6 separate regions of the Mus musculus genome follow, and all the other regions are reported to be linked to region 2. The links are microRNA targets in miRTarBase. Many come from high-throughput screens and were not tested one by one. Region 2 holds a microRNA gene; each other region holds the end of a gene's coding sequence.

The links. The annotated mature microRNA mmu-miR-706 reads AGAGAAACCCUGUCUCAAAAAA and lies in region 2 at 3,076-3,097, shown strand. An mRNA with a match to its seed (bases 2 to 7 or 8) in the 3' UTR can be bound and repressed. Matches are read on the target gene's strand: a 7mer-m8 pairs with bases 2 to 8, a 7mer-A1 pairs with bases 2 to 7 and ends in A, and an 8mer does both.
Region 1: miRTarBase lists Timmdc1 as a target of mmu-miR-706. Seed matches in the 3' UTR shown: 7mer-m8 at 940-946.
Region 3: miRTarBase lists Med18 as a target of mmu-miR-706. Seed matches in the 3' UTR shown: 7mer-m8 at 1,193-1,199.
Region 4: miRTarBase lists Lmtk2 as a target of mmu-miR-706. Seed matches in the 3' UTR shown: 7mer-m8 at 3,190-3,196.
Region 5: miRTarBase lists Dusp3 as a target of mmu-miR-706. Seed matches in the 3' UTR shown: 7mer-m8 at 2,828-2,834, 7mer-m8 at 2,033-2,039 and 7mer-A1 at 1,691-1,697.
Region 6: the mRNA of Mfn1 is a reported target of mmu-miR-706. Seed matches in the 3' UTR shown: 7mer-A1 at 1,175-1,181 and 7mer-m8 at 2,023-2,029.

What each region holds. Positions count from the first base shown.
Region 1 is chr16:38,494,299-38,499,696 of GRCm38, reverse strand. Timmdc1 (translocase of inner mitochondrial membrane domain containing 1) reads left to right here. Exons shown (of 7, transcript NM_024273.2): 7 at 614-1,854. The coding sequence ends at 764. It also overlaps a transcript of Cd80 not described here. Among named protein-coding and RNA genes, the nearest start is that of Gm41453, 14 kb to the right of the region's middle.
Region 2 is chr6:120,031,989-120,037,386 of GRCm38, reverse strand. Mir706 (microRNA 706) reads left to right here and starts at 3,076; the gene lies at 3,076-3,159. It overlaps Wnk1 (WNK lysine deficient protein kinase 1), which reads left to right. Exons shown (of 28, transcript NM_001199084.1): 1 at 1-513.
Region 3 is chr4:132,454,830-132,460,227 of GRCm38, reverse strand. It overlaps Med18 (mediator complex subunit 18), which reads left to right. Exons shown (of 3, transcript NM_026039.3): 3 at 115-1,499. The coding sequence ends at 668. Among named protein-coding and RNA genes, the nearest start is that of Med18, 6.4 kb to the left of the region's middle.
Region 4 is chr5:144,183,826-144,189,223 of GRCm38, forward strand. It overlaps Lmtk2 (lemur tyrosine kinase 2), which reads left to right. Exons shown (of 14, transcript NM_001081109.2): 14 at 891-4,383. The coding sequence ends at 919. Among named protein-coding and RNA genes, the nearest start is that of Bhlha15, 3.8 kb to the right of the region's middle.
Region 5 is chr11:101,969,759-101,975,156 of GRCm38, forward strand. It overlaps Dusp3 (dual specificity phosphatase 3 (vaccinia virus phosphatase VH1-related)), which reads right to left. Exons shown (of 3, transcript NM_028207.3): 3 at 1,385-5,181. The coding sequence ends at 4,976. Among named protein-coding and RNA genes, the nearest start is that of Sost, 5.4 kb to the left of the region's middle.
Region 6 is chr3:32,576,312-32,581,709 of GRCm38, forward strand. It overlaps Mfn1 (mitofusin 1), which reads left to right. Exons shown (of 18, transcript NM_024200.4): 18 at 752-2,914. The coding sequence ends at 830. It overlaps Gnb4 (guanine nucleotide binding protein (G protein), beta 4), which reads right to left. Exons shown (of 10, transcript NM_013531.5): 10 at 4,021-5,398. Among named protein-coding and RNA genes, the nearest start is that of Gnb4, 38 kb to the right of the region's middle.

The DNA.
Region 1 (5,398 bases), not on the chromosome of region 2:
CTTAAAAATAATATAGAGAAATGGTTTTTAAAATTGTCCTAGCAGAAACTATAGAAGACTAGACATAGGTGGGGTTGCAGAGTGGTCAAATTGGATTGGGTTGAGATTTAAGTTGTAGGTGGCCTTGATAAACAAAGATACTAAGATTCTATTTAGGAGAAGAACTGATCTGTTAGAAATTTGATTCTACTTTTCATAAATATGTATATGATTCTGCTCTTCCTAAATAAGTATCTGTAGAGTTATCCTATATGACTTCACCTAGATCATTATTGCATGGTCTTCATGAGCCTCAGGTCTGGAGGGCAGGAGGGCAGCCCAGCTTTGATATGTAAGCCTTAGCACAGGCTCATTACTCATGGAAGAGCTGCAGGGCAGTCTCCCAGAATATGGTAGCTGTCCAGTCCGTGTTGGTACTGGACTGGAAATCAGGGTTAGACTGAAAGGGGAGCAGCATAAGAGAGAAGCAAGTCTGTGTTGTGAGTGCGGGAACCATTGCTCATAAGTATCAGAGCAAAGCAGGGAGGGTGTGGCAGACCCTGCCCCTTTGTTCGCAGTCTCTGTACAGACGTGCTACAGCAGCACTTGACGCGTGTCCATCCTTTGATTGTAGGAGAAGCAGTCTGCAAGTCACTGAGCTCCTCCCGATGGAGATTGAAAGTGGCTTGGAGAAGATTCAGCCTGAGGGAGACGCTCAGAGGATTGAGGAGCTGCTAAGCCTCCCTAGGAACCCTTCATCGCCACATCAACAAAGCAAGCACTGAGGACCAGGGGGCTGTGTCTGGGAACGCCAGTGCCAGGCTACTCCGCTACTCCTTGCCAGCCCGCTGACTGATGTGAGGGCTGGAAGCTGTGCTAGCGGTCACTTGTCTCTGATCTTTTTCTTTCTTTCTTTCTTTTTTTTTTTTTTTTTTTTTTTTTTTGGTTTTTCAAGACAGGGTTTCTCTGTGTAGCCCTGGCTGTCCTGGAACTCACTTTGTAGACCAGGCTAGCCTCGAACTCAGAAATCCACCTGCCTCTGCTCCGAGTGCTGGGATTAAAGGCACGCATCACCACATGGCTTCCGATCTTTTTATTACATCCAGAATTAGGCACCCAGTACTCAGGGTGCCACTGACCTGTAAATCCAGAAGCTTGGGAGGCTGAGAAAGGAAGATAGTGTGATGCTAGCCTGAGCTACTTAATGAGAACCTGGTTAAAAAATGTGCACCCACAAAAAAACCCAAACAACAGAACCAAAAAGCAACCCAAATATTCTTATTTATTCCGATCATTGATCCATCTAAATATTTCATATTTCTCTATCATGCTAGATTTTGTACAAGTAAAATTCTTCCCAAAAGATTTAAATTGTGTTGTCTGGATCGCCTAATCATGCCTCAGTCTTTGAAGAGTGTTCTCTTGGAGGACCTGAAGGAACTGGAGGAGGAGCATGTCCGCGAGACCCTCTTCCTCGGGCCCTCAGACAGTGGATAGTGTGAGCCTCTACGTTTAGTTGTTTGGATTTTTTTTTTAAAATAAGAATAAGAGGTGATTCCTTGCCATTTAAACGTGGTTTAACAAACTGGAAGCAGGTGGGTATCAGTAAAGAAGCGATCCAGCTTAGTCTCCGCCCCCACACTGCCAACAAAGCACCTGTGCTGCAGGACACAGAAGATGCGACATGCTGTCCCCACAGTAAGGAGCTGGCTGCCTGAGAGAAGCCGTCCTATAGATTTCAGCTATGGACAGAATGGGAGAAAGTGCAAGACCGAGTCACAGGCAGCACTTTTCTGGCCTTTGGGTGTGTTTTTTCAATTTTACTAACATGCAGTTAATGGTCTGAAAACATTAAATGGAAGATCCCAGGACTAAGCAGTTGCTCAGTTTTAAATTTTGTACATTTCTAGATGGGATGATGGAACCTTGCCTCCTGAGATAGAACGAATCCCTTCTTCTGGCATTTCCCATTCTCTGTCCGCCTTGGTAATCAGGTTGAGTGTGTGGAATGACAGTGCTTGTGTTCAAATAATGTCATTTAATAATGACTCCAAAGCGCATGAGGAGTGCCACTAACAGTTGACATGCACCAAGGCAAGCTGTGCAGTGCACCCTTTAAGCAGAAAGGTGAGCATTACCACCATGTTGAGGATCCTGTATTGTATAGAGCCTCAGGCATCCACTGAGGTCCTGGACTGCATCCTGCCGATAGGATGGTGGGGAAGAAACCGCTAGCATTTTATTTTGGAGTTGGACTTACTCTTGGTAAGTTGGTTCTACTCTTAAACAAGGTCTAAAGAACAGTATAGTGCAGTCTTGAAAGCCAAGGACTCCAGGAGTAAACCTCTCGCTTTCCATTTTAGCCTGAAGCATAGCAGCTGTGTGACTTACAACAAAGCCATCTGCTGAGCCTAGAGTCTAGTACAAGCTAGGCATTCACTCAGCCAGTGAGTTAAGCCTCAGCCCCGTTGTACTTTAAAGTCTCAAGAGTTTTCACTAAGCAAAGTAGTATATTCTTGAGAGTAGTTTTTAGTGGAGTTATTAAAGTGTGATATTGTTAAGTATATATTTGCAGTCTTTGACATACAACTTCCCAAATCCTGGAAACCCACAAGTGATAGTATCTATGTACGTGTATGATGGCTGGCTACCTCTTAGGGATGAGGCCTGGTCACCTAGAAGTTCTTAGTAGAGCACAGATCAGGCACTGTCAGTCCTAACTCACAGCCTCTAGTTAGGGAGGTGAGCTTTGAAGTGAGCTGCTCACCCAGTGCCAGAGATTGAATCACCTTTCAGGTGACGTTTCCATGACAACCCAAGGGCTAGCGCTGGATGCTGCTGGTTCCCAGAGGCAAGCACTAGGGAGGGCATGGAATATCTGCACTTTGCCTGGGCTTCACCCGATACATGTCTTCACGGGAATGCCTTTTACAGCAAACCAGTAAGTAGGCTTCCCTGCACCGTGTGATGTGCTCATCAAACAGATTCCTTACCAAGGAGTCACTCCAGCTCAGTTTGTAGCTAGGTGGTCAGTTATGGGAATGAGCCGTTCCCCTGGGGAGATGATGAGCAGAACTAGTGACACTGTGTGTCCACTCAGGAGGACCTGCTTCCTGGCTGGCTGGGGAAGTTCCCACAGTTTGGGTGGCTACGAAAGTCTTGTGTTGGTAAGTGTGGTAAGGGAGAAGGGGTGTGTGTGTGTATGTGATTTTTTTTTTTCCCAACCAAAATTTTAACACAGTGCCTACGTCATAATAAATATAGCTGTAAGGAAAGGCCTCTGCACTGGTATATTGGCGCAGTGAATTATGTGTTAGAACCATACTCATAAATTAATATCTTTCATAATTACCCCACTTATAAATTGACAAATTAGCAAATATCCATTCTGTTCATTGTTTTATTTATAATAACATAGGCAAAAATCTTTAAAAATTATAAAACTAAACAGTTTTTAAAAATTACTTTAGCAAAAGAAAACACCTGAATAATAAAAAGTATAAATCTTAAAAAAAACAACTAACGCTTATCAAATGTAATCAATAATTTAACATAACTTACTTTTCTAAGTTTCCCTTTGATTGATCCTTTTTGTCACTAACTGTTTTTGAAGTCTCGTGGTGAGCCCGATCACCACTGATTAAATGCTGCAGCTTACTTCCCCCGCCCTCCTGGTTTTTCTTTGGTGTGGCTTTCAATGTCTTGTTAGCTTTTTGTCAGTCCACCACTTTGTTTTCTTTAGTGGCTTGGTTCTGAGAGCACCCACATAAAAATGGACCTGTTTCCTGGGCATACAACAGATTCTGGTCCCGTTGAGAAGTTTGGCTGCCATTCGATGTCCTCCTATAAATTCAGACTAGAATATCTGATTGTCTTGACTTAAGCTCACTGCTGGTCTTGTAGGTTGTGGATTACATCTCAGAGAAAAGGGAACCTTCAGTATAGAAGCAGCAGTTAGCTGCTTCTTGTTTTCCATTTCTTTGGGGCACATTGATGGAGGAGTGGGTTTCAGACAGGATCTTACTATCCAGGCCATGCTACCTGGAATTCAGTTCTTCAGCCTCAGTATACTGAGTGCAGGGATTACAGGCAAGTGTGTCTAACGTACATTTTATTTTTCAATTCCACTGTAGCAGATCTATACCAAAGAGCAAAAGCCACTTCCAGGAATCTGAGGAAGTTCTGTGTAAGGCTAGTATCACTTAAGTTGTTTATGTGAGGACAGATGATTACTCAGTAAATAATCTCATTTGAAATAAGAACTATATCAAGAACTGTGTAAAAGGGCAAAGTTGCCTAAAGACATTCATTATAAGTTCAATATGAACGAGTAAGTTACGAACTGTGCCTCCAACTTGACTTTTGCTTTGAAGTATAAAAGGCATACATTCATCTTAGACAACAAAAGCAGTTAATTCTGGTTGACTCTGGTTTCTTTTAAGGACATGAAGGATAAAAAGGGAAATACCTGGAAAGTGCTGGCTGAAAATTACCAACATTTTTATTACCCTCAAATGGGTATACATAGCAACATGTTTCCTACAAATTACACTACAGTCAGTAGGCCTTAAAAAACAAACAAAATAGAGGCTAGTCAAATATTGCCAGTAAGCAGTATCCTGAACCCCGTACTAACTGAGCCTTCTGCTTATTAAAAGCATTTTAAATTAGCTTGTCTATGAGCTCAGAGCTTGGGGTCTAACAGATACAGGTTAAGAGTGGTAGAGCCAGGAAATCTGGATTCTGACTCACCTTCATAATTCAGGTTCCCTCTTGGAACCTCAGTGTCTTCATTGATTCAGCTAGTGTTCTGCTAAGTGCCATAGCTTACACCTGGAAGTCTGGCACTCAGGAAACTGGTGCAGGAGGATTGCTGCAAGCTTGAAGCCTGCCTCCGCCACAGAGTGATTCTTTGTCACTGAGCAACAGGGTAGAACCCTATCCTAAGGTATCGAGAGAGAGTGTGTGTGTGTGGGTGTGTGTGTGTGTGTGTGTGTGTGTGTGTGTGTGATGTGCAAGCAAATGTGCAAATCGTCCCTATGTCCTTTCCAAAGAATTCAGTCTCTAAACTACGTCCTCAGAATCAGCAGAACTACTGTGGTTCATTCGTCTGAGTACTTCTGCAAACCACTGCAGAGGCTTCACCTAGAGAACCGTGTTTGCAGAGCCAGGGTAGTGCTAGGTTTCTGAAGTCCTTTGCAGAAGAGGTCAGTTGCAAATGGTAGATGAGACCTGAGGAAACAAAAGGAAGAAATGAATGTTGCAACTCTAATTTTTGCAAGAGAGAAAAATACTATGCTTAAAATTTCGAGGTCAATTATATTTAACTTGAGGTAACAATAGATATTAATCTCGATAACTAAAGAATATTAAAATAGGCAATTTTTATAATATGAAATGCAGTAGCTATTCACCAAGC
Region 2 (5,398 bases):
ATCTGCGACTCCAATGCCACCGCGTTGGAGCTGCCGGGCCTCCCTCTCTCTATCCCGCAACCTAGTGTACCTGCAGTGGTGCCCCAGAGTGCTCCACCCGAACCTCACAGAGAGGAAACTTTGACCGCCACCGTTGCTTCCCAGGTGTCTCAGCAACCCTCGGCTGCTGCCTCCCCTGGGGAACAAGCCGTTGTAGGCTCGGCCACCACGACCGTCCCCAGCAGTACCAGCAAAGACCGCCCGGTGTCCCAGCCCAGCCTCGTGGGGAGCAAAGAGGAGCCACCGCCGTCCAGAAGTGGAAGTGGCAGTGGTGGCGCCAGCGCCAAAGAGGCGCAGGAGGATAGGAGCCAGCAACAGGATGATATCGAAGAGCTGGAGACCAAGGCAGTGGGAATGTCCAATGACGGTCGCTTTCTCAAATTTGACATCGAAATCGGCAGAGGCTCCTTTAAGACAGTCTACAAAGGTCTGGACACCGAAACCACTGTGGAAGTCGCCTGGTGTGAATTGCAGGTAATGCCCCACCCCCTTTTTTCTTATTCGGTCGTTTGGATCCCAAATTTGGCTCTGTTAAGCCAGTTTGTCGAGTTCACTCTTTACTTGTAATTCTCTGACTCTGAGAGGGCGGGAAGACTAGTGTCCAAAGAGGTTGAAATTGGGAGATTGTGGAGCTTGTAGTTAGTTAGGTGTTTGGAAAAGATAGGAACTATTGGTGTCAAGAAGGATTGTTATCAGCCAGGGGTAAAAAGAGTCATTTAAGTACAAACTTGTGTGTTTAATGTCAGGCAGGAGACATGGAATTATTGGAAAAGGGTTTCCCTTCGTGTTGGGGATCGAAGAAGTGGGGCCTGGACAAGTGCTTTCCCACTGAGCTAAATATATCCTCAGCCTTTGGGAATTTTTTTTTTTTCTTTTGCTTTAAGTAAATATCAAACCTTTTTTTCCTGTACACTTCATTCTCTTCTAAGCCTCTGCAATAATGAACTGCCTTGTGTGTTTCCATCTCTAAAATCTGATTGTTAGACAAGACCCTGTACTTTTAAGGAACAACTTTCTTGATAGCAGAATATCATAGCATAGTAGCTAATAAAGGCATGCCTGGAAATCCCAACTACTTACTCTATTGGTCGAGGCAGGAGAGCCTCAAGTTCAAGGCCAGTCTGGCCTGGGTAGTGAGACACTGTCTTTTTTGTTTTGTTTTGTTTTGGTTTTTTCGAGACAGGATTTTGTATAGCCCTGGCTGTCCTGGAACTCATTCTGTAGACCAGGCTGGCCTCGAACTCAGAAATTCACCTGCCTCTGCCTCCCAAGTGCTGGGATTAAAGTCTTGCACCACCATCAAAACAACCACCCAGTCCCTGATTCCCAACTCTCTTTCCCTTTAAGTGCTTTCAGAGTAGGAAGGTACAGTATATACCTACCAATATAACCACCTACAGGTGCTTAAGCCTTATGGCTAGCTGTGATCTGACACTGTTCATTAGTCTGTCTTCATCCTATTCAGTCCATAGTGAATAGTAAAAGTCCATGCAAAATTGTATAAGTGCTTTGAAAGTTGTGATAATACCATCATTGTTGTAATATCTTATAAAAGACTTTTTGTGAGTGTCCCAAAGTATAGCCCAGACTGTCCTGAATTTGTTGATCCCTCTGCCTCAGCCTCCAGAGTATTAGAATTATAAGTTAATGCCACTATGCCAGGGATATAAAAGATTTTTAAATGAAACTTCCCAAGAGTCCGAGGGATTACAGTGCTTTCTTCCTTCCTTCCTTTTTTTTTTTAATCTCAGGGAAATTTTCAGGTTATAAATAAAGTGCAGGTATATGCTAGATTAGTTTGGACTACTAATTGCTTGAATTATAGCAATAAATAAATGTTATTATATTTATTATATAAATTTATATTTATATAAATAATATAATATAATATAATATAATATAATATATATTATAGCGATAAATAAATGTTATTATAAAGCATCTATATAAATATTGGTTTGTTAGCACTTGTTCACATCCAGAAATGAGCATGTATTTGTGGTGGAAGCAGAATTTCAGCTACATCATAGATGAAAGTGCCACTACTGATTTCTTGTCAAGAAAATGGACCAAACTGAAATAGGATTGGAAAGTAACTGAAATAATCTCAGAACTTGATTTACCCAAGAATTAATAAACAGCTTGGTTTCCAAATGTCCCAAGGTCATTTGAAATGTGAAAGGAATAATGTTTGGAATTTGCTTCTATGTGGTGGTGCATGCCTTTAATCCCGACACTCGGGAGGCAGAGGCAGGCGGATTTCTGAGTTGGAGGCCAGCCTGGTCTACAAAGTGAGTTCTAGGACAGCCAGGATTATACAGAGAAACCCTGTCTCAGAAAAAAAAAAAAATGGAGTTTGCTTCTAAATATCTAGTGAAGGTGAGCAATTACCCAGCTTCAACAATTATCAGCATATGATTGTTCACTTAAAGATAGTCGATTAAGCTTTCTCTTCCACTTCTCTATATGCTTGAAATTTATTTTCACCATTGGAAATGAGTGTTCGTTTTGTTTTTATTTTAAAAATGTGAAAGAACGTTAACTCAGCATGTGGAAGCAAACATGAAACTGGCAAGTTCTTGAACATAATTCCTTGAGTTCAACACTTAAAATGGAACTTCTAAGCACATTAATGAAGTAAAATAACCAAAAAAAAAATTACCCCTTGTTAATTTTATAACTGATAAGAGTTGGAAATGTGACAAATATTTATTTATTTATTTATTTATTTATTTAATATTTTGGTTTTTTTCAAAACAGGGTTTCTCTGTATAGCCTGGCTGTCCTGGAACTCACTCTGTAGACCAGGCTGGCCTCGAACTCAGAAATCCGCCTGCCTCTGCCTCCCAAGTGCTGGAATTAAAGGCGTGTGCCACCACTGCCTGGCCGTGACAGGTATTTTTTAAAAATTACTTTTAGCCGGGTGTGGTGGCACACGCCTTTAATCCCAGCACTTGGGAAGCAGAGGCAGGTGGATTTCTGAGTTCTAGGCCAGCCTGGTCTACAGAGTGAGTTCCAGGACAGCCAGGGCTATACAGAGAAACCCTGTCTCAAAAAACAAAAAAACAAACAAAATTACTTTTAGTAGGTTTATTTTGTTTTTTGAGATGGCTTTTTTTTTCCCTTACCCTATATTGTGAAGACTCATTGTGTACTCCAAGCTGGCCTTGAATCCATGATTCTTCTGCTGTAGCTTTTGGAGTATTGGTATTACAGGACCATGCCAGACAAACTTACCTTCATTGTTTGTTTGTTTGTTTGTTTGGTAAACTTGTCAAAATATGCCTCTCCTCCTACTGGGCAGTCATACTCAATAATTTAGATGAAACTGATTTATAGGAATTTTTGTACCAAGGATCTATTACTGATCCAGGAATTCAATTCTTCAATTACATTTGTTTTATTTAATTATCTATTTATTTAAGATTTATTTATTTATTATATATAAGTACACTGTTGCTGTCTTCAGACACTCCAGAAGAGGGTGTCAGATTTCATTACAGATGGTTGTGAGCCACCATGTGGCTTTTTATAAATGTGTGCTTTTACTTTTTATTTTTATTTATTTATTTTTAAAGACTTATTTATTTTATGTGTATGAGTGCACTGTTTCTGTCTTCAGACACACCAGAAGAGGGCATCAGATCCCATTACAGATGGTTGTGAGCCACCATGTGGTTGTTGGGAATTGAACTCAGGACTTCTGGAAAGAGCTGTCAGTGTTCTTAACTGCTGAGCCATATCATTCCAGCCCATATCATTTTGTTTTAGATCAAAATATTTGGGTTCAAATTAAAGGTCAAACCTAAGGATAAGTAAAGCTTTGAAAAGAAAAGGAAAAAAAGTACCCCTTTGACATTATCTCCCTAGCAGTGTGATTTTAAGCATGTACTACCATGCTTAGCTTTAAAATTTTTAGTGTATTAAAACTAGAAGGGTTTTGGGAAATAATAGCTCATTAGGTAAGGACCCCTGCCACTAAGCCTGATGTTCAATATAGCACCCACATTGTGGAAGGAGAGAGCCAACTTGTGAAAGTTGTTTTCTGACCCCTGCACTCTTGCTGTGGCACATGTGTACCTACATAAATAGATGCAAAATTGGATAAAATCAGGCTATCTCTCCCACCTACTTGTTTGTTAAATAAGGACCTGAAATCATAGGGCATTAAGTAATTTAGCTTTGGTTAAGAAATTACAAACATTAAAATAGTTATGATATAGCAATTTGGAAGGTATTGAAGGCAATTACAAATTAGACCTGGTAGCAGAGGCCTATAATTTTAGTTATTCAATGAGGCTGAAACAGTAAGATCACAGGTTCAAGGCCTGTCTAGGCTACAGAGTAAATTTTAGGTCAGCCTGAACAACAAAATGAGACCTTAACTCAAAACTAGAGTCAGAAAGAGAAGAGAGCTGGGGATACAGTTCAATGGTAGAGTACTTTAGTGCAGTGTTAGAATATTTGTTTAATAGCTACAAAGTTCTGGGTTCAGTCCAGAAAAGGTAAAGGAAACAACTGTGGTTACTAAAATAAAACTTGCCAGCCAAATTTCTGGCATAGATATGCTCTTCAGGGCCTATCCCATCTTAAGGAGTCTTTGGCAGTTGTAGCTTCTCTGAGAGGGAGAATCATTATCTTTTATCATGTTGTTCCCAACTGGTAGGTTTCTCATGGGCAGTCACAAATCCATGCAACAACAAATTGGATTTAGTAGGCTATTTTTAAAGAGTCAAAGAGTTGAGGAGTATGTGTTGGGGGCATATAAAAGGACTTGGAGGGGAGAAATGGTGGTGGATATATTTGTGTATACATGTTAACACTCTGAAGAATCAAGAAGAATTTAAATTTTTGTTTTTTAGAAAGGCCAGGCTGTCGTGGTACATGCCTTTAGTTCCAGCACTTGGGAGGCAGTCACAGGCTGATCTTTTGAATTTGAAGCCAGCCTGGTCTACATAGTGAGTTTCCAGAAAATCCAAGACTACACAGAGAAACCTAAAAACAACTGATCAAATAAAACAAAAACAAAAACAAAACCCCAAACTACATTTGTAGTCTCAGTAGATAGCTAATTAGTAATACTAATTTCAAATGAAGTTATACTAATTCTGTGTAGAAGTGGCTGTCAGGATTTCTAAAGTTCTCTAATAAATGACAAATTTAATTTTTATCACTTCATATGGGGATCTAGACTTTGGAGGATGAATGCGTGGGGTGTACAAATTAAACTTCCTATTGTTAGGTTATTTTTAGAGTCACAGTATGTGTAGCTATCTACCAAATTGTTTTCAATAATAAATAGGTAATATTTTGATACCACAGTCTTTACAGTCTTTTTTTTTTTTTTTTTTCCAGACAG
Region 3 (5,398 bases), not on the chromosome of region 2:
ATTGTTCTTAGAAAACGTTGCATAGAACTATTTATTTGGTGTGTGTATCTTTCGCTGGTTTCATGACCCTAAATGAAATGAAAGCCGGGACTCACTGTGCTTGTGCCTCTTCAGGAAGTGTTTTGGACCACAGTTTGGAAAGCCTCATCCATCGCCTCCGAGGTTTGTGTGACAACATGGAGCCTGAGACCTTCCTTGATCACGAGATGGTCTTCCTGCTTAAGGGCCAGCAGGCCAGCCCGTTCGTCCTAAGGGCCCGGCGCTCCATGGACAGGGCAGGGGCACCCTGGCATCTGCGATACCTGGGACAGCCCGAAATGGGAGACAAGAACCGCCACGCCCTGGTGCGCAACTGTGTGGACATCGCCACGTCTGAGAACCTCACGGACTTCCTGATGGAGATGGGCTTCCGCATGGACCATGAGTTTGTCGCCAAAGGACACCTGTTTCGGAAGGGCATCATGAAGGTTGTGGTGTACAAGATTTTCCGAATCCTGGTCCCAGGGAACACGGACAGCACCGAGGCCCTGTCCCTCTCCTATCTTGTGGAATTAAGTGTTGTCGCCCCGGCTGGGCAGGACATGGTCTCTGATGACATGAGGAACTTTGCAGAGCAGCTCAAACCTCTGGTTCACCTGGAAAAAATAGACCCCAAAAGGCTGATGTGATGAAGAAAGTTTGTCGGCCTTTTAGGCCTGTCCCCACCTGGGAGGTGAGAGACTTCGAAAGTAGCCCAGGTACTGCTGCCAGCCGGGCCCACTTCCTTCCAGAAGATGATGGCGAGACCTGGTTCCTTTCAACTGTTTCCTTCACTTGGTAATGTCTCTTTTTTCTTGCAACAGGGTTTTACCATGGAATTCACTACATAAACTAGCTACCCTGGAACTCAGGACCCTGTACTTCCCGCCTAAGTGCCTGCAAGGTCCTTATTAAACCTGACTGTTCATCTTCTTGATAGGCTTTTCCAATGAAAGACCCAGGATAATATGGAGATTTGTTCAAGTCCTCCCTCCACTCAAAAAGAGGGAACTGGAATAAATTAGCTTTTCAGAGGAAAGGTCAAAAAACAACTCATAATATTTTGCTTTTTTTTTCTTTTTTCTCTTCTTTTCTTTTCTTTTTTGTTTTTTTTTTTTGTTTTTTGTTTGTTTGTTTGTTTGTTTGTTTGTTTTGTTTTTCAATACAAGACAGGGTTTCTCTGTGTTGCTTTGGCTGCCCTGGAACTCACTTTGTAGACCAGGCTGGCCTCAAACTCAGAAATCCACCTGCCTCTGCCTCCCGAGTACTGGAATTAAAGGCGTGCGATAACACGCAAGCCCGGCTGTTTGTTTTTTTTTTTTTGTTTTTTTTTTGTTTTTTTTAGAGAAACATTTTTTATTCCTTTATTTATTTGTTGTTTTCTTCATATGTTTTAAATTGTGTTGTTTTGCCATTGATATACAAGGTTTACAATGGTGGTGTGAGCCAGCATTGTGTGGTAATAAAGACTGAAAAGACTCAGTTGTGATTCTGATTCTTACTCGTCTTAACTCCTTCCTAGTCTACTTCTATATTGCTATAGTTCTGTCTTACTATTGTTGTTATTGTGTATGCTGTGGGGGCCTCTCCAGGACCCACATGGGAGAAAGAAAGAACCGACTCCTGCCTGTTGCCGTCCTGTTTCTCCACAGGATTGGTTGAGTCCTGCACCCACATGTGTGCACACCCACACACAAATGTAATCAAAAACATTCAAGTAGCTGGTGATGGAGAGGTGGCTTAGCTGCTAAAGAGCACTGGCTGCTCCTGCAGAGAGGACCAGGCTTAATTCCAACACATCCTTGAGTGCTGACAACCTTCCGTAGGAGTCCAGTTCTAGGTGATTGGATGCTCTCTTTTGAAGTACACAGGCACCAGGCACACACTCAGTACACAGACATGTTCAGGCAAGAAAAGGGCCATGTGCTGGTGGTGCATGCCATTAACATTAGTCCTGGCACTCAGGAGGCAGAGGCAGGCAGACCTGTGGTCTACAGTGCAAGTTCCAAGACAGCCAAGGCTACACAGAGAAGAAAGACAAAAGGCTCATAGTCTTAGATTTGAAAAGTCAGATACTTTTTCTCCTTCTCCTTCTCTTTTTCTTTTTCTTTTTTTTTCTTTTTCTGCCAGGAAAACTTTCAGTCCACTTTCTTTTTTATAGGAGTCTTACCCAGGATCCTACCAACAGCCTTAGTGAAATTTACTGTTGGCTCATCTACCTTCTGTTTTAGATTACAGTTATTTCTTTAGGTCTCACGTGTGCATGTGCTTCTGTGCACATGGGATCAGAGGCCAGCTTCCAGCAGTTCTGTATTTTCACCATCCGGGGCCTGAGTGTGGAACTCAGGTTGTCCGGCCTGGCAGCAAGCTCCTTTATCCACCTTTCCTTTCCAGATGAGATCTCTCACAGCCTGCAGCTCAGTTTCATCTAGACACCAGCCAGGGGCCCCTTAGCTTTCTTCTTTCCACCCTCCCTGCAGCAGCAGGGTTAGCAAAAGCCAGTCACTGCCTCCAGCTGCTGCCCGGGACCTGAACTCAGGTTTGTGTGTTTGCTTAGCAATGTTTTATCCCCTGAACTACAGCCCCGGTCCCTTGCAGTTATTCTTTGTAGAGATGTTTTAATCTTTCATGAAAGTAGTATATTTGAGCCATCCTGTTATCAGGGCATGGGGAGGCTGAGACAGGAGGATCACAAAATCCAGGTCAGCGTGAGCGACAGCAAGATCCTGTCTCAAACCACAGGCACACTCAAACACACACAGAGGAAAAGGACATTTTTGTTGATGGAACATTTTAAAACCAATAAAATACCAGAGATGGTTCTATTTTTGCTACACCTGCATGTGTAGCTGTGGAGGTCTACAAACCACTGCCTGTACACTGTGGTTGCTAGGTTTTGGAACTTAAAAAAATTTATTTTTTTCTCAGCCAGGCATGGTGGCCCAGCACTCAGGAGGCAGAGAAATACAGATCACTAAGTTTGGGGCCAGCCTGGTCTACAGAGTAAGTTCCAGAACTTTTTGTATACCAGGCTGGCCTTGAATTCACATAGCTCCAGCCTGCCTCTTGCCTCCTGAGTGCTGGGGTTAAATGCCTGTGCCCAACAAGCCTGGCCATAACTCACTTTGGATCTTAGTTTGTCATTCAGAGGAATGGATTGTAGTCCAGTATAGACTGTTTGGCTAGCATGCACAAGATCTATAACTAATACCACTCATGTACAAGTTCCCTGACTAATCCCACTCAAACACAAACACACAGACTATCAAGCAAGGCATAGTTTGTCCTCATTTGTCCCAACAACCAGAGAAGCTGAAGTCTGAGGAACACTTGTGTCCAGAAACTTAAGATCCAGTTTGGACAATATAGCAAGACCCAGGTGGGAGTGGGGTTTTGCATCAAGAGACAAGCAGACAGATTTCTGTGCGTTCGAGGCCAGCCTTCTCTACAGAGTTCCAGGTGAGAAACTGTCTAAAAAAGTTTTTTAAAGAACCCCAAAATGAGCTGGGCATGGTGGCGCACGCCTTTAATCCCAGCACTTGGGAGGCAGAGGCAGGCAGATTTCTGAGTTCGAGGCCAACCTGGTTTACAGAGTGAGTTCCAGGACAGCCAGGGCTACACAGAGAAACCCTGTCTTGAGAAACAATAACAAGAAGGAGGAGGAGGAGAAAGAGAAAGGAGCGGGTGGGAAGAGAAAGGAAGAAGAGGAGAAAGAGGAAGGAGGAGAGGAGGAAGAGAAAGGGAGGAACAGGAGGAAGAGGAGGGGAGAGAAAGAGGAAGGAGGAGGAGAAAAAGTATTCCTTCACAGTCTTTGCTTGCATTTATCCCTCCAAGTTCCTACACTGAGGGGCTGTAACCTGGGGGGTTGTGAGATGAAACAAGCCCTTTCTTTATTCCCCAGGTTGTTTTGGACCATGGTATTTACCACAGCAACAAAGCAAACTAGGACAGGCTGCCACTGTGTGTTAGTACAATCACTCAGACACTGCTCCTTAGTGTGTAGCCTCCCTCTGTTTCTAATCTCTGTGTTTATTCTGTACTAGACAAAGTCTTCCTTTCCAGCCCAGGCCAGCCTTGAACTTGAGGCAGTCCTTCTGCCTTGACCTCCAGAGGGCTGGGATTACAGGCATGAACTACTATACCCAGTCCTAAATTATACTTTTATTCTCTATCACATGTAACCACAAAAATTAAATTTATTTTCGTTTGTTTCTGTTTTTATTCTGAGGCATCGTCTCATGAAACGCAGCCTAGCTTCATCCTTTTGAGTTAGTGAGGCTGACCTTGAACTCAAAGAAATCCACTTGCTCTCCACCTCTGGAGAGCTGAGATTAAAGGCATGCACCACCATGCCCAGCCTCATCTTCTTAAAGTACATTGTGTGTATGTGTGTGTGTGCGCTTGCGCAAGCGCGCATGTGAAAATCAGTGTACAAAAATGCAGTTACAAGCACATCCTCACATGCATGCCTTGGCTTGAATTTGGAGATAAAATGACAGCCCGTGGGAGTGTATTCTTCCCTTCAGCTGTATGGGTCCAGACTGATGGTATGTTTGCCCACTGAGCCAACCTCTCGGCCATCCTGTATTTTCTTATATTAACTTTATGATTTTAACTTTCACATTTCAGTCTTCAAACCATTTGAAGTCTGTCTTCTACATAGTTTCAAGTAGAGAGAGAGACCCACCTTTCTTCTCCCAGTGGTGAACTAGTTTCTGTCACCACCTGGGACAAATTCCTCCGGGGCTCTGTGGTGTGCCACCCTTAGCACACATTAACTTCCCACATCCAGACTGTCTTAAGCTCCCCTGTCTCCTCCACTGGCCTTTTCTTTGTTACCTGCCAGCAGCTGGCAGAGCCATGTTTTTATTGGCTTTGTGATGGATCCAGTTCTACCAGTAGGGCCGGTATCCCTACTTTGCTTTTCCCCTCAAAATAGACTTAGTTCTCATAGGCCACAGTGCCATACATCTATAATCCCAGCACTTGGGAGGGGCAAGCAGCGTATAGATCAGAATGCAAGGCCAGGAATTGAAATAGAAATTTTGTTTTCCTTCTTGAATAATAACTGTTCACTTATGGGAATCCCCACTTTCCACTAATAAAATGTGAGGTTTATAAGGGAGGGGTTTTGTACCCCATGCACGTGCCAGAATGGCCTAAGGTAGACCCCTGGACAATTATTAAGCAGATGAATGAAATATTTTTTGTATGTGTGTGGGTTTTTTTTCCTAAGATTTATTTATTTATTATATGTAAGTACACTGTAACTGTCTTCAGACACACCAGAAGAGGGCATCAGATCTCATTATGGATGGTTGTGAGCCACCATGTGGTTGCTGGGATTTGAACTCAGACCCTTCGGAAGAGCAGTCAGTGC
Region 4 (5,398 bases), not on the chromosome of region 2:
TCCCCAGATTGCCCTAACTGTCCTTGAACTCACTCTTAGAGTCTAGTTTGGCCTTAAACTTGAACTTGATCTGAGTCTTCCGCCTTAGATCCCCAAGAGGCTGACATAATAGGCCTGGTGCATCCCTCACAGCCTGACAGTGCATATGCAGCCACACTCCCACACTGGGCTCATTCCCAGTGTCCATTTCTGTCCACCCTGATGGACGGCCCTGGAGAGCTTGGAGGTCCCAGAGCGGGCTCTGCCATGTCTTTTCCGTTCCCCTTTGCTGCCAGCCCCGCTTCCTCAGGTTACACATCTGTCCCCAGGGAGCACCCTGCACAGGCACCTGCTCTAGCCACACTTGACCTGTGGTTTGGACGTGAGCCCAGCCTTGTGGGCTCTTCCCCAGCAGTGTTGATTTTGCCATTAAGTCTTGGTCTCTGTGTGATACTGGACGGCCAGCTGGGAACTCACAGCAGGGGCCATTTGAAGTAGCAATACCTGAACATATGGGCCCCTTTCCCTATACCAAGATCAGGAGATAAATATTAATAGGTACATTTTTTACTTGAAGTTTACAGATCAAATAATAACTGTAGGATATAAAGCACTTTTGTTTACTTGGTTTTCACCTGTGCCGATGAGATAATGCCAGAGCCTGAGGATCTCTGGGGGCAGGTGTACAGGTCAGCGCCCGAGTGTGACCATGGAGCCTCTGTGGGAGCCAAGCACCTGTGTGTGCAGCCCTGCAGGTTGTGGGAAGGAGGGGAGACAGGGCAGCACAGGAGGGCACCAGCTATGCTTCCTTTTCCTGCCGTTCTGGTCTGCTCGCCTCCATGCTGGCACTCTCTGGGTAGTCGGCTCTTAAATCTGACCTGCGCTGTTATGTTGCTTCTGTCTGGACATAGGCAGCAGTGAAGACGGAGACAAGGACTAGTTGGCTGTAGACACTCTCCCAGCCAGCAGCGCTCCTGCTTGTCCACCTGAGCAACGCAATCCACTCCATGCTGACTGGCACCAGACAGTGAGCGGCTCAGGAGTGATGGAAAGCGGGGCCACCACGCCAGGAAGCAACTCCCTCTGCAGCGCTCGTCTGCCCGCTCGCCTGGGCTGCTCCTGCACTCGTGCTGGGCATCCTGCCGAAGTGGCCACACTGCCACACTGCTCTGGCTCACGAGTATTGGAGGACCTGAGCACCTCAGGCCGTGGGTCTGTGTGGGGTGTGTGGGTGTGGATGTCTGCCTCGCCACAGGTGCCACAGAGGGGCAGGCGCACCAGGGGAGGGAGTGCTCACAAGTGAGCCATATTTATTGTCTTTAGGAAATCACTAATTGCTCTTTGACTGCACTGTGGGTGAGTGTTCTGAGCTCCCAATATTGTACAGCATCGTAAATTATCCAAGGAAGATATGGCAGGCCAAGCTGGTGCTGACCGCTGGTTTGATTTTCTTTTTTGTTTTTGTTTTTGTCTCTGTCTCCTTGGGTGTCTGCTCTGCATGGCACTGTAAAGCTTCGGTATTTTGAGTGTTCTTCTTTCTTAGACCCACCCGCGGGAACCGTTCACAGGTACCCTCCCTCGGGCCCTTTTGATTCTGGGAGTTAGGTTGTGTTTTATGTTCTTAGAGGACATATTTTTGATGAGGCCAAAACTGCTGTTCTGTTTCGTTGATTGCATCGAGCATGTTTCTATATAAGGTGGGTACTCTGAGCAGCCTGCCCTGCCTCTCGTGCTTTGAAATTCTTTTGGTAGAAATCCCTGAAGAGGTGCACCCATCACTCAGTGCCCAGGGTCCTTTTCTGGCGAGATGAGGCCATGCACCACTTGCTCAGCACAGAGGCCAGCTTGCGGGAGCTCTGCGTCTCAGGCAGGTGGGACCTCTGAGACACTGGTCCCCACAGAGCTGTAAGTGAGAAGAGCAGTTTGTCCACTCTGGGTGCTGCTGAGGGAGCTGTTTGGGAAGAAGCCATCCCTGGCCATAGCCCCCAGGATACAGCCAGCCCCTGTAGCTGCAAGTAGCAGGGCAGAGACCCCAGCAGGGCCTCCAGCAGCCCTCATGGCCCCTTTCCTGTACCAAGCACCCAGCTCTCCTCTTGTTCTGAAAGGGATTTCACATCTTCAGCGTAGCTTCAGTACATCATCGGAGGAGTCTGCTGTCCCTAACACAGAGGGAGACCTCGCTTTCCTACCCCAAGCAAGTATTGGTGGCCATGGCAGCGTGGCGAAGCCATGCTGGGCGGGAGCTGCACCTGCTGGCGTGGCTCTTCTCACTGAGCTCCTCGCCCCAAATATCCCGGTGCTGCCCCTGCTGTCCAGGCTCCAGTGTGACAATGGGTTGAGTCTCCAGGCCCTGGCCAGGACATCCTGCTATCAATCAGAAGGACTTGGACTCTCCTGCAGAGTGCAAGTGTGGGTGTCGGTGTGAGTTCACCTAACAAATCATGACCTTTATCATCAACTCTGATTCGATCCATGCGTTTTTTTTATACTAAGCAATAACTTTACGATCAACAGAAGAAATTTTAAAACAGAGTCTCCTTTTCCCATCCTTGGTGCAGACTGTGCCTGCCTGGACTCCGTAGAAAGCACTGGATTTTGTGACATGTATATTAAAAACAGGGCATTTCAAAGTAATTTTGCCAAAATTGTCATAACTGAATTTTTGCTGTGTGGACTTTCTGATTTTTTTTTAATTATTTTTTTACCTCTATCTACCAGCTTTAGTTGAGAAAGAAAGGAGGTGTAATTATAATAAGTTTTTTTTGTTTTTTTTTTTCAAATTACAGGTTTCAGAAGTTGAGATTCACTGATTACAGTCAGGTGGATCCATATGTGTAGCCTCCTTTCGCAGCCAGCCTGGGATAGAGTTACTGACATTTGAGGGCTGGCCATCTTTCACCATGCTGAGGGGATTTTAACAATACAATTCCCGTTTATATTTATATCTATATTGTTCTCATGGTAAATTGCCAAAATAAAAGCATTTTATATATTGAGTTGGGGTGGGGGTGGGATAGATCTTCTGTGTCGTTGCATGGAAGGGAAGACTTTGTATAACACGCATCAACACATCCTCCCCAAATCTCAAGCAATAGACAGAAATCTCAGTAGACTAAACTCCAGCCCATTTTTTAAATGTGAGCATGTGCTTTGCCATCCAGTGTGGGTTTTGTTTTGGTTTAGGTTTTGTTTTTTGTTTTTCAAGATAGGGTTTCTCTGTGTAGCCCTGGCTGTTCTGGAACTTGCTGTATAGTCCAGGCTGGCCTCAAACTCAGAGATCCACCTGCCTCTGCCCCCTGATGCTGCCACCATACCCAGCTGGTTTTATCTTTTAATGATAACTTAGGTGCCCTTGGTGGGCTTTCCAAACCTGGTTACTCAACGTTAGCAGTGAAGCGAGCCGGTGGTGACTGTGGCTGGAATGTGGTGGGCTTGGTGACTTTTCTTTCTGCCCTCCCTTGAGTGCTCACCCTCCACCTACCAGACTGGAAGCTGACTTTAAGTCCTCTAATAAAAATAATGAGCCCTCCAAGTCCCTCTTGATAGCTTCTATTTGTTAGAAGATGACCTAAGTCAGAAAAAAGTAGTTCCCCCTTCCTGAGAGACTCTGTCTGGGCCAGAAGCCATTCATTGAAAGGTTGCGATGGCAACCAGCCTCCAGCCATGCAGGCCTGTTTTTAGAGAGATGGGTCTCTCTGAGGAGGTCTGTCTCCCTGCTGTACAATGCCTTTTAAACCTTCCCCTTTTTCCATACTTCCCATAGGGCATTTGTAGAATTAGTGACCCACTGCATGTCTGTCCCCAAGGCCGGGAAAAGAGACAGGCAGCTCCTCAGCCTGAGAACGCCGCCGATGCGACCAAGTGTCAGGCTCTATGTGCCATGCTTCAGAGTGCCCACCTTGAGAGAAGCCACCTTGTAGTCAGAGTGAGCAGACACAGTTACGTCAAACATACATCTCAATATTTCTTAAGAAGCAAACGGGGGCACCAGTCTTGGCTTTTAGGAAGCTCTGTTTAACTTACACATAAGTTCTTAAGATGTGTTGGCAGTATTGCGTCACCCACGGCCGTCCCGGGGGCTGAACGTGTGGCGTTTGGTTACTGAAGCCTGCTCAGGCGAAGCTGGGTCTTGTGCATGTTCCCACTGTTTCATCCTGTCCTCGCCAGGGATCTGGGTGGGACAGTCACACCCACGGCCTGCTACCCACCAGGTTGTACTTAACGCAATCAGAAGGGGTTCATGGCAATATAACAGTTAATGAACTTGGAGTTTAAATTGTGTACATTTTTAAATTGTAAGATTTTTACTGTATATTGAAGCTTAGTGTGATTCAATAAATTGCTTGTAATTTAAAAACTATTTAATATTCAAAATAAATATAGTTATATATTTATAATAATCTCTGTTGCTACATTTACTCCTTGTTTTTTCCATGTGCGGGTTTGGCCTGGTGCTGTGGATCTCTGAGCTCCCCGTGGTCCTAAGGCACGAGGGTGATTGTCAGGGGACTGCAGCGTCTGGTGCGTGTGTGGTTGTGGGCTCTGTAATCCAAGCCTTTCTACTTACTGAGGAGTTGTAGCGAGATTTGGCTTATAAGGATTTGGCCTTGGCCCAGGCCCCACATGCTACTCCAAGAGGTCACAGCCAGCCTTTCTGTCTGGGAAATGGCTTATTTGCTGAGAAAACCTATGTTCTGTTTCTAAAACCCATGATGTTTAAAATCAAAAGGTCGGGTAGAGTGGAGCCAGTATGCCTGTCGTCTGGTTCTGGGGTAGCAGAGGCAGCAGACCCTGGGGCTCACTGGCCAGCCTAGCACTCTAGGCCAGTGGGAGATCCCGCCTCAACAAAACAGAAACCGGTGCCCCGAGGATGACAGTTGATGTTGAACTCTGACCTTCACACCTTACACTTGTGGACATGCACGGGTACCACAAAACACACACACACCCCAAACAAAACAGCCTTTCACTGGGTTTGGCATGGTGTGTGCCTGTAATACCAGCAGATGGGTGCTGAGGCAGGAGGATTGCCATGTGTCCATAACAGCCCAGGCTCTGGTAAGGATGAGGTCCTGTCTCAAAAAGCAGTAGCAGTTGTATGCAGTATGGGGGTGTCTCAGTTCCCCCCGCCCCCAGTCCTTTCATTGAAGTCCAAATGACATGAGGGAGGTGACAGCTTTCTACCAGAACCATGGCCCACATGACTGTGTCACAAGTACTGAGACCCAAGCCTGCTGAACTTAGCCAGAGCTATGCAGAGTCCTGGCTGAGTTGTTTAGACCTGTCCTATTAATGGGGGGGTGGGGGGGAGACACACTACTATTAGTTGAGCCTAGTGACCAGTTACCCTTATGATTCCTGCAGCAAGAGGCTGAGGCAGAAGGGTAGCCATGAGTCTGAGGACAGCCTTGGCTTTGGA
Region 5 (5,398 bases), not on the chromosome of region 2:
GACGGTCTTGCTGTACAGCCCCAGATACCTTCAAACTCGCCATCCTCTTGCTCCAGCTTTCCAAGTGCCCGTGGCTATAGGTGCACACCACCACACCTGGATAGGTTTTTTGTTTTTTAATTCTTCTTTTTTTTTAATATTTTGAGATAATTGTAATAGACAGTTCTTGAAATAATTCGGAGGGATTTTATGATCTCCCTACCCATTTCCCCTCCACAGCTCACCAAAGATGCCAGTCCAGCACCACAGCCAGGACGTGCAGTGCGCCGACGCCGACACACTCACATCCATCCTTACTTACCTAGGGCTCTCTCATGATGCCTGCGGCACGTGCTCATGCATCCGCTTCTACACGACCTTACCACGAGACTCGCCTGTCCGCCTTTGGCCCCAAGGATCTGCCCTGATGTCTTTTTTCATTATTTCTTTATTAAAGTTTTTGAAACAGGGTCTCATGCACCACAGGCTAGCTGAGGGCTAACCTTGATCACCTCCCGGAGGTGGAGATTAGAGGTAGCTGTCACCACAGCCCGTTCTTTCTGTCGCTTTTTGATGGAGTTGTCCACATGTCTCACTCACCCCAGCTCTCAGCTCACAGCAACCACTCATCTAACCTTGATTTACATCTTTTTCTTTTCAATTTAAAAAAATGTTACGCAAATGCAGCCAATGCAGCCAATACCTGGGGCCTTCTCTTTTCACCCAGCATAATTCCCTGGAGTTGTCCAGTAGTGGGTGCAATGACTGGTATTTATCCTCCTCTAGTGTCCTGCAAAGAATTTTCACTGCCCAAGTTCCCCGTGCTCCCCCTACTCATCCCTCTTCCTCCATCCCAACCCCCAGCACACCCTGAGTTCTTTTCTGTCTCTGTAAGTCTTACGTTAGCCAGAACACCATGAGATGGACTTACACAGTATGCCAGCTTTCCAGAGTCGTACCTCCAAGGGCTAGGTTTTAGGAGGTTTTTAAAGGCTTCATTTTATTTTTATGTGTGTATCTGTATGTGGGTATGTGCTAAGAGCAGATGCCCATGGAGGCCAGAGGTCCTGGATCCTCTGGACCTGGAGCCACCCAGTATAGGTTCTGGGAACTAAACTCAGGTCCTACCCAAGAGCAGTGTGCACTCTTAGCTGGAACCCTCTCTCCAGCCCCTAGGTGATTATTTTTAAATGTTAGAAAAATGCTGTACTGGTGTGGTGGCATGTGCTTTTAGTCCTAGCACTTGGAGGCAGGGACAGGGGCAGGGGCAGGGGCAGGGGCAGGCGATCAGAAGTTCAAGGCCAGCCTGAGATCCTACCTCAAAACTAACAACAGCACCACCACAGCAGTTATAAAGCACACATAAAAAGCCCAAACACACAAAAGGAAACACAAAACAGACGTCTTTGTAATGTAAGACATTTATTTTGGTTACAACTTTAGAGTGCGTTAACACTGGTGGTAGACTAGAGGCTAAACTTTCCTTTTCCTCCCGGATGGCAGGACCTCCCATGCCTGGCAGGTGACAGTGCTCTGCCTCACCCCACCATCCCCTGCCCTCTGAGCCTCTTCGGTCCACTGAATCACTTTTTACGGAGTTAACCTAACGCTGGCAGAGGAAAATGGAATACAAGTTAAATATCCAGCTATTCTCTCTATGCTACGATCAGGACAAAGCCTGTAAAAGAATTATGAAAAAGACAATTTCCTGTGAGAAAATCTCTTATCCTCGTATTATAAGATCAGTGCTTCTCTTGATTAAAACATTTAGCATCTTAAATACTATAAGCAACTTAAGGTGGAAAGGCACCCGCCTCAACAGTGCCCCCTGCTGGCCATGGCATTATCCACACCCACTTGGGGGTGGCGGGTGTGCTAAAGGCCAAGTGAGAATTCTTAAAATAACTTAAGAGTGCTGGAGCCCAGAAGAGCCTTAGTATGGGCCAAGAGTTCCCTCATTTGGTAAGTGTTAGTCTGTGCTCTCAAGACAATAGAACAGCAAAGAAACAGACCTACCCCTGGAAAAGGCAGGCAGACTTTAGAAGATTGAGAAGAGAAACCATTTTTATGTTTGTAATTTTTACCTGGATGTTTATAAGTCATAGAAAGTGGCTGGGTCTGAGGAAGAGGTTGGGGGGGGGGGGAACACCCTTAATTCCTATTCCACCACTTTCCATGGATAGAACACTATCCAGGATTCCCAACCCCACCCCCTACTCACGGGCAGCCACGGGGTTGGCTTTTCCACAACATCGGTATTTTACCTGAAGAATAGTAGCTAGTTTTATAAACACGAGGCAAAGCCAACCAAGAACCGTTGTACTTTCAGCCCTAATGGAAAGCCAGGAATCTCCCAAAGGCTCTTTCTTCATGTTCCCACAAAGAGGTTTCCAGTAGGTGCTAGTGACTGTCCTGTGGCTGTCCTATGGGGTGACCAACCCAGAAGAGGCAGGGGGAGGGAAACCCACCCTCAGAGTGGAGAGTTCAATGCTATGTGTCACCATGTGTTACCTAGACAAAGAGAGACTGTGTCCCAATCGACTGGGGAGCCACAATTTTCACTTCCTTCTCTGGAGATGGCTCAAAGTCATGTGCACTTGGACACTGTTGGGGGCAGATTTCAGGTCCAAGCCAAGAACAGCCTCAAGCAGCAGGCCTGAGACTGCTTCTACTTAGCTTTAACGAGCTGGCAACTCTTAATTATCTTGAACTTTTTTTTTTTTTAATGGAATCTTAGTTGGGCAGTGGTGGCATTCGTCCCAGCCCTCAAAGGCAGAGTCAGGCAGATCTCTAAGTTTGAGGCCAGCCTGGTCTACAGAGCGAGTTCCAGGACAGCCAGGGCTACACAGAGAAACCCTGTCTCAAAAACCAAAGCCCAAAATCCAAAACCTAGGATCTTGGGACCGTAGCCCTGGCTGGAGTCTCGATACGTAGACCATGCTATCCTTGACCTTTCGGCGGTCTTCCTGTCTCTGCCTCTCATGAACTGGGCCTGTAGACATTGCAATCATGCCTGGCTAGCCCAGATGTTTTTGGTTTGTGGTGTTTTGTTTTGTTTTGTTCTTTCCTCTCTTTTCCTCTCTCATAACACATGAACCAGTTCTGTCAACTCTACAGTGTTATTTTGAAATGCACATTGTATTGAGCAAGAGAGCCGCTTGGAAACTAAAGACTGAGGTACACAACTTGGCTATGGTCACTTCATTCTGGGCCAAAAAAAAAAAAAAAAAAAAAAAAAAAGGATGACCAGCCCTATGTGACCAGGGTTGCTGTGGTCACACAGAATAGGGGACAATGACCATCCAGGCTGCACAGCTCTGCTCCTGCTGTGATCAGAGGTCTTTACCCTGGGAGTGACATCCTAAGACAGGTCTGCTTCTCCTGCCTCTTGCAGCAGCTCTGGAAAAGGCATGTTCCTTACCTTAACCATGAACACTGCTGAGTCTTACACTTAAAGCTGAATTTGAAATATTCAACAAAAATCCCTGATATTTCTTTCCCTCCAAGGAAGGTTTCTCTGCAAACTCCTGTAAGACATCCTACAGGCAGGCAACCAGGCTGCTGGGATCCGGGTGCCCCACGACAACAACTCTCTCTATACACGGGGTACTCAAACAGCTCTGGTTCTCATAAAATGGGCTTTTATGAGACGCCTATGTGCCGGGTGCTGGGGTGGTGGCTGACGGCTCTGCGTGACCCCGGAGACATACAAATAATGAGAACGTGAAGTCCCAAGAGGATTATGTTCAATCTCTGGCAAATGTGCACACATACAAGGTCCAGCGAGGTTCAAAAACCACCCTTAGAAAGTTCTTTTAAAGGCTGTTTCTTTCTTTGCTCTCTCTCTCTCCATTCTCATGGTGCCGCCAAGTCTCGTTTCTGTCCAGCGAGTCAGTTTCAGGATCCTGCACAGACACCGTGGAACCAGCAGAGCCTCCCGTAAATGGCCAGGGTGAGCAGAGGGGCCTTTCATTTTCCTTCTGTCCCCAAGGGGACAGGCACCCCTTCCAACATATGCACCCGTGCACACACCCACGGACATGAGCTGCAATTGGCTAGGTTCCTCCTCCTAATTATTCTTAGAATAGCAACCAGGATGGCAAGCACTTGGCGTGATGACTTGAACTCACCAACACTATAATTCAGGATAAAATCCTTGCAATTCTCCAAATGGAGGTCCTTTGTTTGTTTGTTTGTTTGTTTGTTTGTAATAGGCTGGACTTTACACCCTGTATTCTGAAAAGGGGGAAACCCTGCCCAAGGCATCGCTCTTCTAACAAGCAAAGGAACAGAGCCATCCTCAGGGAAGGCTCTGAAGCAGCAGATATAGATCGTAAGCTCTCTGGCAAGGCACACTTTAAACATTCCAAAGAATCAAGATAGCCTCTGGGAAAAATGGATTTGCTTACCCAAGGGCCCCTATGTAGTATCTTTAATTCTAAGGAAATAATTTTAAAATGCAGCCTTTTTTTTCCTTCTTTTTGGAAATCTAGTCACTAATCTATCTCCACTCTGCTTCAGAACTTAATGTCATTCGTCTGCCTCAGCAGGGCGTGTCGGGCTGTGAGGACCAGGAACAGACATGGGGAGGTCAGGGCCTGTGTTTGCATAGTTCCTTTACCAGGCTCGTGGTTCTGGACCACACAGGAAGAACCCAGGTGGGGGAGGGGTCATGAAGAGTGCCCGTGTCCCGGGCCATGCACCCTGATAGCCCTCCCACCCTGGGTCACTGAGATGTATCTATGCCACAGACAGGGACATAAACCTGAACCTCACCTCAGGGAGAGACATAAATTACAGGAAAGGATGGCTAAGGAGCAGAACTTCTTAGGGAGCTTCTTCATGTGCTCCCTAAGGGTGGAGTGGCCCCCGAGGACCAGAGTGGGACAGATGTGGGCACGTGTCTGGTGGTGCAGGGAGTGGGTATACTGTGTTTCCTAAACATGGCTGCCAGGGCCCTCCCAGTCAGACCTCTGCAAAAGAGGCTGTGGGCACCCTAGAGTTTCACCTTGCCCTCCTTGGCTAGTCTGTCATTGAGCTGGCAGAGTTGGGCCAGGAAGCCATCGTTGGGGCCGATCTCACGATTCTGCCTCACAGTACTCAGAGCAGACTTGACGTCCATCTTCTGCCGCATCATGAGGTAGGCGATAACTAGCGTTGGGGAGCGGCTGTAGCCCTCGCGGCAATGGACAAGCACCCGGCCTGCAAGAAACAGGGGAGACGTGGTAACTGTGGAAGCCCAACTTCACTGTAACAGTCAAAGTCTTCCATACAACAAGCATATCACCATGCACCCACCCAGAATGACCAGGGACAGCAGGGTGTCAAGAGGTTCTCCACCGCGGAAAACTGGCAACAGCTACTCACGTTGAACACCTGCGCCCCCTACTGCCCAGCAATGGCATGCTGGGAATTGAAC
Region 6 (5,398 bases), not on the chromosome of region 2:
GTGCACAGTGCAATCAGAATGGTGTCTGCGCTCATCTTAGGAGCAGGCTGTGAGCGCTGAGTATGGAAGTGCGCTCTGTATTGTGCGTAGAGTGCACAGTGCAATCAGAATGGTGTCTGCGCTCATCTTAGAAGCTGTTCTAGGGCACCAAGGCCTGACTGTTTGGAATCCTAATTACCAGCTTGGGCTCAGCCCTTCTGCCCACGTTTCAGGAGGGTTGCTGCAGAGTCAAGGGCATTCTTGGCTTATGTACACTTCACTTCTGTGACCTTAGTCACATGTTCAGAGACAGCCAAACAACAAAACAAAACCAAAAGCCCTTTCTTCTCTCCACACAGATTTCATTTTCTGTTGAGTACATCCCCTGAATGGAATGAAAATATGCTGCATAGATAGGTGGCTGGCAGTTGAGTCAGAGCTTCCTCTCATAGGCAATTTGATTTCATCAAGTACGATTCTAATGTGATCCTTACGTAGCAAAGAACTTCGTTCTTTACACAGTACTTAAAGGCAGTTTCCAAGACAGTTATGCTTGTGACCCGAGGGGTGACTCCCGTATAAGCCATGTGTTAGGCTGTTTGCTGTTGAAGCCCAAGGCTCCTGACCTGTGAGCACAGCAGGCCAGCCATGCGTGAGTTTCATCGAGGGGCCGCAGCTGCTTAGGGGCAGTTTCTAAGTTTGGGTAGAGCGTACTTTTCTTATAGACTGTTAGGATAATTGAGTTGATGTGTATTCATTGTCTTTTCATTAGAAATAAAGCTGTTCAACTTGAAAGTGAGCTGGAGAATTTTTCGAAGCAGTTTCTACACCCGAGCAGTGGAGAATCCTAACGGCAGAGGCACTGTAGGAGGAAGCGGACTTGGAAGATGGGAAATGTTACTTTATGAAATGACCTCAGTACAAGTTACTAACTCTTAGTATCGATGCCTTGCGGAGATTGTGGTAATGACCTGTCTCAGGGGTTGCACCTTTGGAAGTGTTGTGATTCGCCTTGTCTTAGCATTAGTTTGGAGTAAAGACTGAATTGTTAAGGTTAAATGATGAATTCCTTTAGAAACAGTGGAACCGGCTGTGCGGCCCCTGAGGGTGGGTCCTGCAGCTCCTCACCAGGCTGGCTGTCTGCGGCTCTCAGAAGCTGCTTCCTGGCATCCAGGAGTTAGAGACCTTTTCATCCTTTCTCAGTGCTAGTTCTTGATGCTTCTTTAATGGGAATAGTGAACTTGTTTATAAGCCGATTTGCTCAAACCAGGGGTGTGGGCTGCTCCTGGGGGGGTCCTGCAATCACTCTGTCCTCACAGCAAGGATGTAACCACTACTAAACAGTTTTTACTTTCTTTTATTCCCATTAAAGCTGATGTGAAATAGTAACGAGGCCTATCATTGTAGCCACGCATGAAGTATTTGGGTCTGCTTTCCTGCTCTCTCTCTTTAGACACATTTTCAGCCTTGAGTCCAGCAAGGAGAGCTTTTCTGCCTAAGTGTGAAGTGGAAGGTCTGAAGGGGTGAAATGGGAGCAGAAAGTGTGTGGAGTGGAGTGGAGTGTGGTGCAGTGACTGTGGCAACTGGTTCTCAGCAGGACACTCACCGAGACCCTGGGCGTGTCCAGGCGTGTCCCCACTGGAAGCTTTGATTTGAATTACATGAATTTCTTGGGCTCTATTACAAATTACCACTCTGGGTTAGTGACATGTTTATAGTTCAGGTATTGATGTTTGATTGACAGTGGTATGGAAATGCTTGTAAATAGCAGACAGGATTATTCTCCACCTGACAATGAAAATTAAAGTGCTAACATTGGATCACTTCAGGAAGTCAGCAGTGCCACCCCAAGGGTTACCCACTGCAGTGTCAAAGGTCAGCACTTCAGGCAGGAGCAGAGGAGTATTTAGTTAATATGGCCACATTGAGGAAAGGGGCAAAGAGATCCAGCAAACTCCCAGTATTTCTTTCCTAAAGGCCTGTCTTCACAATAGGCACACCTATTTTTTGTCTGTCTGTTTGGTTGATTAGTTTTGAGACAGGGTTTCTCTGTGTAGCCCTGGCTATCCTGGAACTAACTCACTTTGTAGACCAGGCTGGCCTTGAACTCAGAAATCTGCCTGCCTCCAGAGTGCTGGGATTAAAGGCATACCCAGCCCTAGATGCACCTCTTATTTTTAAAATACTTGAAGACTATTACAATGTTATATATCATTACTTAGACCATAGAGAAGTTTCTAAAAACCACTTAATTTTTATGTAGATTGGGTGCTGGGTTGCAGTATTCAAATTTAAATCCATGTGACTACCTTTTGCTTTTATTGCTGATTTTTAGTCCCCCAAATGGTACAGGCAACCAAGTGGGACTGGGTGAATAGTACATGAAAAAGTAGTATCTAGAATTGAGGTCTGCTAACCTAGGTTACACAGTTACTTGGAGCACATAATTAGCCAGCTACAGCTTGGTTCTCTGGGTTTGCTCCCGGGATTGTCAACATTATTTTTAAACTTGTAAAGATTTGTAAGGTGTAGATTCTCAACAAGGTATGAATCAAGTTTGGGGTCTGCAGCAAGCTTCAAGTCTGTCCCAGTGTACTCTGAAGTCTGCAAGCCAGTATCTGTAGTCCAGAATGCTTTCCTCACTGATTAAGAATGTAGAGCCAGCTGATGAAGTTCAGAAGTTACGGGTGTTGAGCATGGAGTGTTGAAATGCAGACACTAGCTCTTTTACCAGACAAGAGTGCGCCTGCCACTGGTAGGCTCGTGCATTACAGACTGTAATCATGACGGTTACTGATTAGTTGCTACACACATACTTGATGATTTACTGTGTATGTTTACAGTATTTATAAACTTTGTATGATCTTAAACTTTTTACAAAACATTTTTATAAGTATGCAAGCTTGCAAGATGAAAATAAACCTATCCGCCTATTAGTTGGTAAATATAGCATTTATCTCAGTTAGTGACTGTTTTCCACTCCCTTCAGATATTTTCATGGTAGTCGTGTAAGCTCTCACATGAGGTCCTGTCACTGTGCTGTAGTACTATTGTACATACACTGTATAATAGTGCCTTTGCCCAGTCACAGAAAGTGTGAGATGCCTGGCTCACCACTGTCAGGAGCACAGTTTGAGAAGTCTTCCATGGTAGTTGTGCAGCTGATAAGCACTGAGCCAGGAGGATTCCCTAAACAGAACTAATACAAACATCCTCTACCTTTGGTTTATTTTCAAGACAGGGTTCTCTGTGTATCCCTGGCCATCCTGGAACTTGCTCTGTAGATCAGGGTGGGCTCGACCTGGAATACAAACTTAAAATCTTAATTGTTAATCTTAAAACTGCAATGTGATAATAAATACAAGTATTTAAAAATCTTATGTGATTGGGCTGGAGAAATGGCTCAGAGGTTAAGAGCACTGGCTGCTCTTCCAGAGGTCCTGAGTTTAATTCCCAGCAACCACATGGTGACTCACAACTATCTGTAATGGGATCCAATGCCCTCTTCTGGTGTGTCTGAAGACAGCTACAGTGTACTCACATAAAATAAATAAATCTAAGAAAAAATGGATATTTAAAAAAAATTAAAATCTATGGTATTTTTAAGACTTTTGACTTTTAAGAATATATCGCTAAGGGAGCTACAGGAGAAGGGTGTTTCTTTTGAGGCAGGGTCTTCTCATGGAGGCAAAGCTAGCCTCAAACTTGGGATCCTCCTGCTTCTCTCAGTCTCCCAAGTACTAGATTATAAACCTGGCTCTCGTGCCCCACAGGGATGGTTTACTTATAAATGAGAAATCTGTACCCTTTAACAATAAAGTAAAAGCTAGCTTTGGATCAATAATACTCAATCTCTCCCTTACTGCCCCTTTTTATGAAGGGGGAGGAAAAGGAGGAGGAGCAGGAGGAAGAAGAGAAGGAAGATCAGTATTTAAACACAGGAAGCAGAGCTGACCATTAAAGTACTGAACCTGAGTTTAGTTCCAGGGCATAACTTTTTAAATCTTACTAAAATTTGACTTAAAACAAGGTACAGTGAGCCATGGTGAAAAGCACTTTATTGATTACAGTATGAGCTTGCTGCAACAGTATTTCACAAGCAACTGTACAGATAGAGGGGTGTACCTGTCATGCCTCAGAATACTGTGAACCATGGCATAAGTCCCCAGCTTCTATAGTTAAGCTTTAGGCATGGCTGGCATTCAGTCAGTTGGCTTCATGTGTTGGAACTTATTTTAGGAGGAGAAAAATGCCTCCAAGATACCTCATAGAGAAATACTCAGTCAGGCTTAAAGGCACACTTGAGGTGTGGGCTATCAGTGCCTTCAGCGAGACAAGGATACTCAAGAGCACAATTGCATAAAGACAGAAAAGGACGGGACACCCTGCTGCTGAACCACGGAAGTCCTAGTTACGCCCAGTTGCTATGGAAGAGTCTGTTGGATACATTTCATACTAGTTGAAACAAGTATTTTTCTCATAATGCTACATTGTTACACCTGCTTTACAAAACCAGCTATTTAGTTTGGGGGTAGACATCTGTTGAGTACCTGTTGTAACAAATGAGAAGCAGAAGTGAGTCTGCTGTGTGCTTCACTTTCCAGTCTAATTTAAGACAGTCTCCCTATAAAGGACACTCCCCGGTGGGTGGCTTTTACATTTCTAACTGGCTAAGATGTCATTTTACAACAGTATGCTTTCCACAGTGGCCAGAGAATCAGCACCCGAACACAGTATGTAAGTATTTGTACAAGCCTCGTGTGATGTGCAGATTCTAAAAGTATGTTCCCTATGAAATGATGACAGGCAGGCCTATCTGGGGGATTGCATATTCAGCTTTTCCTAAGCTAGTCAGTAACAAAGCACATTGCAGTTCAAAATCTAAGACGTTCATATCCAGATAATTTCCCTGGATGGTTTCACTTCTGAAATGATGTCTTAAGTTTTACTACTAAGTTTAAAACAGCAACAAGATTAGAGAGTACTTTCAGCAATAAAATTACTTTTTATTAAAATAAAGGGTTTTTTTCCTTTTAAAAGAAAAGGATTCTTTTTAAACTATGTGGGTACAGGTGCCTGAGGAGGGCTTTGGATCCCTTGAAGTTAAAGGCAGTTGTTAGCCACCTGAAATGGGAACTAAACTCAGGTCCTGTGTAATAACACTAAGCAGACTTGACTACTCAGCCTCTGGGATAAAGTTCCCATCTGATAGCCTTGACGAGCTGGCCTCAGCTCTGCACTGTGTTAGCCTCCCAGGTGAAGGATAACAAGCATGCATTGCCACACCTATCTTCATTTCTCCTTTAATAGGTTAAAATTCTTTAGCATTCCAGAAACACTGTGCTACTAAATGACAGCCACTTTAGACTTTTGCTCTTGAAGTGACAGGCCCCAACACTTTGCTTTCATGAGTTTGTAA